2 separate regions of the Mus musculus genome follow, and region 1 is reported to be linked to region 2. The links are microRNA targets in miRTarBase. Many come from high-throughput screens and were not tested one by one. Region 2 holds a microRNA gene; the other region holds the end of a gene's coding sequence.
Evidence for each region. Region 2 holds the annotated microRNA mmu-miR-5130 (CUGGAGCGCGCGGGCGAGGCAGGC, at 1,864-1,887, opposite strand). A microRNA usually pairs through its seed, bases 2 to 8, with sites in the 3' UTR of a target mRNA and lowers its output. Matches are read on the target gene's strand: a 7mer-m8 pairs with bases 2 to 8, a 7mer-A1 pairs with bases 2 to 7 and ends in A, and an 8mer does both.

Region 1 (4,320 bases), not on the chromosome of region 2:
AAGGAGGAACTGAACATGCTGGGGAGGTGGCTCTCTGAGTATAGTGCTTGCTACTCAAGCACAGGACACGAGGTTGGATCCCCAGAACCCATGTGACAAGCCAGATACAGTGTGTCTGGGGAGGCAGAGATGAGTGGATCCCTGGTGCTCATTGGCTGGCCAGTCTAGCCAATTGGTAAGCTCCTAGATTGAGTGAGATGCCTTGTCTCAAAATGTAGTACAGAGCAATTGAGGAAGAAACGTAATTGAGGAAGGACACCCAGCCTCCACGCTCACACACAGACACATGCTAACTCCACACAAACATGTGCGTCTCACACATACATACATACACACATACATATGCACATACACGCACAGGAGACACTGAAGCCAGTTGGCTTGGAGAGCGGTAGTTAGGTTCAGGCTGAGTGCCCTCCCCATCCAACCCTCCCCTTAGCATGATGTCTCTCGAGCCCACATCCCCTCAGACTGTCTTCTTTCACCAGGATCTTTGGGTTTGTGGCCAAGAGCCAGACAGAACCACAAGAGAACGTGTGCCACCTCTTCGCAGAGTACGATGCGGTCCAGCCAGCTTCCCAGGTCATCAGCCTAGTGACTGCTCTGCTTCAGGACACAGAAAGGATGTAGAAGGGTGCCATCTGTGTGCCTTCTCTGACATCTCAAGGGACTTGCCCAGGACATGGAACTGTGGCCTCCTTGACAAACCTATCTCTTGGACTCAAGTTGGATTGATCAAGTTGAACCCTTTGAACCTGATGTGACTTCAGCAATAACCTTCACCTGACTCTGGAGCCTCCGTCTCTTCGATTATAAAGACACCCGTCCTTAAGACAGCCGCTCCTTGGACACTCGGCTGGAAGTCTTTAGTGTGTTCCTCCATACTACTGAAGCCCACCCACATCCAAGATCCCTTATGTAAAAACTGTCTGCAAGGACCGTCTGGCTTCATTTCCCTGAGCACTCCCTACATGGTAGGTTGTACCAGAGACCTATGACCCCTGCCTTGTGGTAAACAGCAGGTGTTGGATCAGAACCATCGATTTCCTGGCTGGCACCTGGTGTTGATTCGCGGAGTTTGGGGACAGATTCTATTTCCCCACACCTGTTCCTTTTCTCGGTTTGCTGAGGGCCTCTTGGATCCACTGGCCCAGAGATTTAAAAGTTTGGGGTTGAGGATGTGTGTAGCTCAGTTGGTAGACTGATTGCCCTACATGAACGGGACTGAATTTGATCACCAGCCCCACAAACCATTCTCAATGGTCAATGGTTGTAATCCCAGCACTACAAGGCAGGAAGATCATAAGTTCAAGGTCATTCTTATCTATATAATGAGTTTAAGGCAGTCTAAGCTACATGAGACCCTGTTGAGAGAAAGAGACAGAAAGGCATGCACGTGCGCGTGTGTGCACACGCACACACACACACACACACACACACACACACACACACAATGGGAGTGGGATTAAGGTTTTCATAAATCTCAGCCAATGGTCTTCAAAGCCTTTACCTGAAGAGACCACACTCCAACACGGAGCTGGGGGCATCGCTCCACAAAGACCTGCTGTGGGAAGAGGGTACTGAATGGGCAAGAGCCTACAAGGTTCAGTCTATGATGGAGAGGGGACCAGGTCAAGGGCCTCAGCCAGAGCAGACCAGGCTGCCTCAGAGCATACACCTTATAATGCAACCCACTTCAGCTGGCTTTGGGGAAAGGGGCATCAAATTCAGCCTGCCCCAAGGTTGTCAGAGTCAAGTCTGGGAGCAGAAAAGGGGTGAGTTTTCACATCCCTGCATCTTCTGCTTTGCAATGAAGGTTCTGTCGGTGAGGCCTTCTCTAATGCAGTATTCATGATGTTCTCATTCATGTTCTCATTCATGATGTTCATGATCTTGAGATCTATCTGCTGCAGTTTTTTGACTCCTGTCTGGTGGAACATCCTGGATTTCTTGGATTTTTAGGTGTAATTTGCCAAGGTCTTGGAATCTTTTTCCCAAGAGCATGATAGAAAGATCCCTGGACTCTGCTGTTACAAGCGTGGACTCTTGTCTCACCTCATCAATTATTCTGTGATGTTGAATCAGGATTCTAAAGGCTAGCTTTTTTCAGTAGAAGACCCTTGTACCCACGATTAGAAAAGACTCAGCAGGGCCAGGCAGAGGTGGCGCACGCCTTTAATCCCAGCACTTGGGAGGCAGGCAGAGGCAGGCAGATTTCTGAGTTCAAGGCCAGCCTGGTCTACAGAGTGAGTTCCAGGACAGCCAGAGCTATACAGAGAAACCCTGTCTTGGAAAAAAAAAAAAAAGACTCAGCAATGTTCACATTCTTCATGTCTAATCCCTCCTTGCCCACCCATTACAAATGAACATCATCCCAAACTTTGCTTTCAGTTTCTTGGTAAGCAACAGCTGTCTGGCAATGCTCAAGGAATCCACATCTGGTGGGTAGGAGAAGAGAGACCCTGTTGCTATAGTACAGAGACAAGTATATCTCTGCCCCAGCTCCAGTCTTGCTGGATCCTCCTCCAGCTCCAACACACACACACACACACACACACACACACACACACACACTCATAACCATGTGGCATCACCAACCTTACAACCACAAGGGGGAAGCAGAGAGTCAAGCATGCAGACAGGCAGCTTTCCCAGCTGGTTAAAGAAGCTGGGCCCTTTTCCTCCCACACCCTGCCAGCCTTGCATAAGCCATTTGTTGCAGCATTTGTTGCTCTTGGTCCAGTCCGCCTGCCTCCTTAGGAGACCGTTCCATGACATGCAAGGGGAAGCTCACAGAAGAAGCCCACTGTAACTCAGTGTGAAGCAAGTGTTTGTCCCTGCCCGCTATCAGCCTACAGAGCAACATTGTCATTGGCCAAGGTCAGTCCTGAGGGATGATGATTTCAATGTCAGAAAAGCAAATCAGACCCAAGGGTGGGGGTGGGGGGATGCTAGGTCAGTGGTACAGGCCAAGACCGGCCTTCCCAGTGTGGGATCAGGCTCTGTGCCACTGCCGGGGTCTGCAGGGTGTTAGCAAAGTTTTCCCAGTTAGTAGTGCCAGTTCTAGGCTGAATGGGAGAGTCCTCCACAACTCCCTGTGTGCCTCATGGAAAATAAAGTTTTTTGCACCATAGCTGGTTCTGGACATTCAGAGCTGTCTCCTGAGTCCTGAGCAGAGAAGGGGACCCAACAGAGCAGAGAGTAACATACCAGGACACACCATGCGCATTTTGCATTGACCACAGAGGCCAGAAGAGGGCGTTAGAGCGCCCCTGGAGTCACAGACAGTTGTGAGCCACTGTGTGGTGCTGGGAATTGAACCCATTTCATCTTGAAGAGCAGCTAGTGCTGTCAACCACTGAGCCCCTATAGTTGTGTGTGTGTGTGTGTGTGTGTGTGTGTGTGTGTGTGTGTGTGTACATGCATGTTACAGTTTAAGTGTGGAGGTCAGAGGGCACCTTCTACCCTGTTTGAGACAGGGTCTGTTGTCCACTGTATGTCCACCAGGCAAGCTGTCCATGAGTTTCCAGAGAGTCTCCTGTCTATGTTTTCCATCCCCCCACCGGCATTTTGGGATTACAGATGTGTACTACTACTGGCTTTATATGGGTCTGGGGATCCAAGTTCGAATCTTTAATAGTGCACAGTGAGGGCTCTACCCACTGAGCCACCTCCCTGTTGTTTCAGTTTTTGTTTTGGAGGCAGGTTAGTCTGAAACTCAAGGCAATCTCCCTGCCTCAGTGTTCTGCCACCATTCCCAGCTGTGAGGAGCCATTTTTTTTACCAGAAGGGCTCCTAGGTGTTCACTACAATGAGGAGTGACTCTTTTATTTGAGCCCATTCTTCAGATTAGGAAACTGAGGCGTGGGGTGGGGGTGGGGGTGTCACTGGCGTAGTAAGCGGTGGGGAAACTACATTTCTGGTCCATGCCAGCCCTACCTCTCCAGCATTCTTAGACAAGTTAAAAAAAAAAAAAAAAAGTGTGTGTGGGCTGGAGAGATGGCTCAGTGGTTAAGTGTTGACTGCTCTTCCAGAGGTCATGAGTTCAATTCCCAGCAATCACATGGTGGCTCACAGCCATCTGTAATGAGATTTGATGTCCTTCCTCTTCTGATGTGTTTGAAGACAGCTACAGTGTACTCACACATATAAAATGAATAATTTTAAAAAAAAGTGTGTGTATGAAGCAGGGGTATGAAAACATGTGTTACATTCAATGTGGCTACATAAGAAAACGTGCTGCATTCAGCATGATTACATGAGAAAACATGTATTGTGTTCAATGTGGCTATATATAAAGTTCACCAAGGAGCAGATGAA
Region 2 (4,387 bases):
CTCCGCAGGCAGGAGGATTGCTTTCTACAATTTTAAGCCACAGGAGATCTAATGTGTTGGGGGTAAATAGAACTCTCCCCTGTTGCCAGTACTAGAATTTACTTCTACCTGTAACTTTAAAAACAAACAAAAAAATCTCTTTATTTACAGTCTCTGAACTGCGTCCTTGGGGTCTTCCAGCATACGGTCTACCATTCAATTGTCTAAAACTCTCTTTCTAATGAGGGTCAAATCTCTAACAACCTTTTAAAGCACTCTCTCCACACAGCACTCTCAGTTCTGATCTCTGAAACCGCTATGGAGTCAAAGGGTTTAAGATGTCAAGGACTCGTCCGAACTGCACGCCGGACACCGTGCAATCCGATTCTGATCAATTCAGTCATTCCCAGGTACTTGGTGACTGTCCCACTAGATCACGACAATCTGGGGGAAGGGTGGTTGGAGGCCAGGAGTAGAGGAAGCATGAGTGAAGGGCTACATCAGAACACTCTCTCGGCTAGTGGGGTCCAAAGATGATGAAGACGCCCAGAGGATTTGTGGCTGCAGATTCGCAAGTGGGGTGCAGACGGGTCTGGGTGACCTACTAGGAGATCTGGGGGTGGGGGCAGAAGGAATCGGGAAACAGGGAGGAAGCGAGGGCATCTATAATCCTGTCCCCCGAGGGGAGGAAGGGAAGTGGGCACCGGAGTGGCGAGGGGCGGGCGTGGGGAGCTCACTCCCTGCAGAAGACGTACTCGGTGTAGCTGGTCCAGATCTTGTCCTCGCTCTGGTCGGTGCTGCTAGCAAAAGCGCAGGTGCCCGTGGAGCTGCACGCCACCATGTGGAAGCCCGACTCGGACAGCTTATCGAAGGCCTGCTCTAGGAAGTTGAACTTGAGGTAATAGCGGGAGGTGTAGCGCTCCGGGGGCCGGTCGGGGTCCCGGCTCTCATTCAGGGTGTCCCCAAACACCTCCTTGGCCAGCGACGTCTTGCCGCACACGGTGATGCGCGCCACCCGCCGGAACTTGGCGTCCGCCTGAGCGTCGCGCCCGATGGTGTAGGAGCCGCGGTAGCCGATGGTGATGTAGCCGGAGCGCCGGCTGCCGTCCAAAGACTGGGACGGCGTGAGCAGGGGCCCCGCCGCGCCCCCGGACGGGCTGCGGCTAGCCAGCTCCAGCGTGGGCGAAGGCGCCCCGGCCGAGGCGCCCTCCTGCGGCTCGGGCTCTGCGTAGCCCAGCGGCAGCAGCTCATCGCCCAGAGAGCCCTCCTTGTGCACCCCGCGGCGCGAGTGCGGCGGCGGTGGCCCCGGACCGGGTTGCTGGGGCGCCCCGAGGCGACGCACGAGCTCCGGCAGCTCGAAGTACTCGGCCTCGCGCTGCAGCCGGCTGCGCTCCGGGAAGTAGTCGGGCAGCACGAGCTGCAAGTCCCGCAGGTAATCCAGGATGTAGCGGAAGAGGAAGCCGTCCCGGTCCAGAAAGAAGCGGCCTTTGCTGTCCCGGGCCAGCTCCTGCGGCTGCTGCTGCGTGAACATACGCCAGAGCAGCGAGTCGGGCACGGACACCACGGTGCAGCGCCGGGTCACATACACCTGCCCTCCCACGTTCAGCTCTACGATGTCCGGGAAGAGCGGCGGCTCCGCCGAGGACGACGACGAGCCGCTGCCACCTCCGCCTCCGCCCCCGTTGGGTAATCCTCGGGTGCTGTCCGCCAGAGCCATGGCCAAAAAGAGGTGGCCCGGATGGGCCAAGTGGCAGGGAGCGGGGTCGCGATCGGAAGCCCCAGCGGCTCTTATCGGGGAGCCCTGCGCTCAGGCGGCGGCCGGCCACTGAGAGCCGCGCGGTGCGAGCGCGCAGCAGTGCGCCCACGAGAGCCCCGGTGCGCTGCGCCTGCCTCGCCCGCGCGCTCCAGGCGAGTGGCGGGTCGCGGCCCGCGCGCCGCTTAAGTAGAGCCGCCCGCTTGGGCGGCGCGGCGCGCAGGAGGCGGTGGGCGGCTGCGGAGCCGCTGAGCTCGCTCCCGGGGCGGGGAGGGCTGGGGCGGGGTGGGGGTGGGGGAGGAGCGGGGAATGCATTTGCATGCTAAACGCTGACGCGGCTCGGGGCTGCAGGCTCCACCCTGACCCGCGCGCTCCGGGGGACGACCGGACTGTCACCGCCCGTCCGCCCACCCGCTCCGGGCCCAGCTCCTCTTCCTCTTCCGCAGTGGGTCAGAGCCTCCAGGCGCTTCTCCAGGAGGCTGATCACTAAAGCGATCCTCTTGTGTTCCCACCTCCCCTCCCGCCGCCCTTCTCGGCTGACCGCAGCCGGCACCCGGGGACTCCAGAAGGGGTTGGAAACTTTCTGGCAGAGTGGAAAAGCTTGATTGCCTGCGGCTAGCGCCCTCTAGACCTACCCGCTTCTAACAGTGCAGAGCGCTGCTGTTGGAGATCCATCCCCGGGTCTCTGGAAGTTCTGAAGAGACACTAACTTGGAAAGGATGCACCGGTCCCTTCAAGTCCAGACCACCCAAAGGTTTTTCACGTGACTATGTGACTAGCGTATAGCCTCGAAAAATCCCTAGAAACCACAAGCGAATGCTTCGCGAAAATGCTCTGTTAGATTATTTTGCGAGAGCATAAAGTCTTTGGTTAGGAAACCACAACACAGTACTGCAGTGAGCAGAAATGACTAGGAGAGGAAGTTGGGTGGACACAAAGGGGGGGGGAGGGGCTTACACTGCGTGGGCAAGAAAAGCTAATAAGCGCCTCCAATAGTGGGACGTGAGGCCTCCGGTTGCTTTCAGCCATCTGTAAATCGCACCAGAAAATTCCAATCTAATATTTTCTTTTATTCGTATTATTAGTATTTAATGATTTTACTAGTATTTCATTATTTTACTAAAATTCCGCTGATGTTTTATTTGTTCCTTGAAATGTTAATGCACGTATAGAAAATAATTTACTTTTAGCCCATGCATAACTGTTCTAAAGGTCCAGTAACCCGTGTTCTCCTCCTCCCTCCATCGTTCTCTTCTGTACTTTACAAGACCGTCCACCAGAGAAGAAAGGCTGTGTAGGTCTGAAGGCCCTTCAGATTTAGCCATGCTCTCTATGGACTCCTACTTGTTCAGCGTTTGGAGTCATGCACAAATTTCAGCCCACAGAATTCTGCCACTGCCGGGAAACCTTCCATGGTCTCCCAGGGGAATGAGACAGGTTGCTCTTCAAATTCCCATCTTTGCACTTGGCACGTTCTGAAATCTCAAATTTGTGGTCTGTTATCTGATCGTTGGTTTTTGGTGAATAAATAGATAAGGGCTTCAAGAAGCCCAAGATAGAGGAGACTCTGAAAAACCACAATTTTAATAAATGCTCTTATACGTTGCTGGGCATCAGGCTGTGGAGAATTCAAGGCTGACTACCTACATCTCCTTTAGAGCAGCCAAGAGGCAAAGGGTTGGCCATCTGAACAGTTATCAGATCACTTTGAAGGACAGGCTGTCAATCACAATAAGCCCAGAAAGATCTTTGTCTTAATAATGATGTCTACCCTTTGTGCGACTGTCCAATGAGCTTGATAGTCTTCTCACGGATGAATGTCATTTTCATTTCTGAAATGTTTATGTCTGCCAAACAATTACTGCACTCGTGTCACAGAGCTGAAATAAGATCAGGCCCCAGACCAGCCTGCTTAATTGCAGGCACAGATTTCTGATACTGAATATATTTCACCATTCTTCAACTGTTCCTTGGGATAAATGATAGATGACAGGAAAGTTCCGAGTCCCGACACTGAATGTGATATATCAGCATCTCAGGCCTGACAAAACTGCCACTTTTCTGTAAGCCCAAGAAAAGACTTCAGTGTCACCTTGGCACAACTGGGTCATTGTTCTATGCTGCCATGTCTCCCTTCAAGATCCTTCCCGTCTTAGGGTCACTACCTCTCCACCACCCCTCAAGACCAAGCCAACATTACCTCATGTTGACCAAGCCAACATCACCTCATTATCACCTCAGATCACTGCCTGGACCTCCAAACTGCCTCTACTCTAGCACCCATCAGTCTTCCATCACTAGACCAAAGAGAAGGATCCAGTCAGACCCTGTGTTGTGTGTTTCTTCCCACGTCACACATGAGCAAAACCAAAGTCCTTCTAATGATGTGACAGATGCTTGCTTGTTTCTGACCCACACATGCTTCTTTGACCCATGCCATAACACTTTGCAATGAATGTGCTGGGTTCTCATGCCATTGGCCCTTCCCCTCTCTCTTTCCTTAAATGACTCGTCATCCCCCACACTGTGTCCCACCCCTTCCTTCTTCCCTTCCCCAGGTCCCCTTTGCCCATTACCCTGTTCAATGAAGTGCAGCTCTATTCCACAGCTTTCTCTTCCCTGCCTTCTTTGTTGAAAGTCTCTTTCCCTGTGTCA

Region 1: miRTarBase lists Tns4 as a target of mmu-miR-5130. Seed matches in the 3' UTR shown: 7mer-m8 at 1,548-1,554 and 7mer-A1 at 2,529-2,535.

Annotation. Positions count from the first base shown.
Region 1 is chr11:99,064,491-99,068,810 of GRCm38, reverse strand. It overlaps Tns4 (tensin 4), which reads left to right. Exons shown (of 13, transcript NM_172564.3): 13 at 489-3,133. The coding sequence ends at 630. Among named protein-coding and RNA genes, the nearest start is that of Tns4, 23 kb to the left of the region's middle.
Region 2 is chr14:102,980,745-102,985,131 of GRCm38, forward strand. Mir5130 (microRNA 5130) reads right to left here and starts at 1,888; the gene lies at 1,805-1,888. Kctd12 (potassium channel tetramerisation domain containing 12) reads right to left here and starts at 1,893. Exons shown (of 1, transcript NM_177715.4): 1 at 1-1,893. The coding sequence starts at 1,696. The coding sequence ends at 713.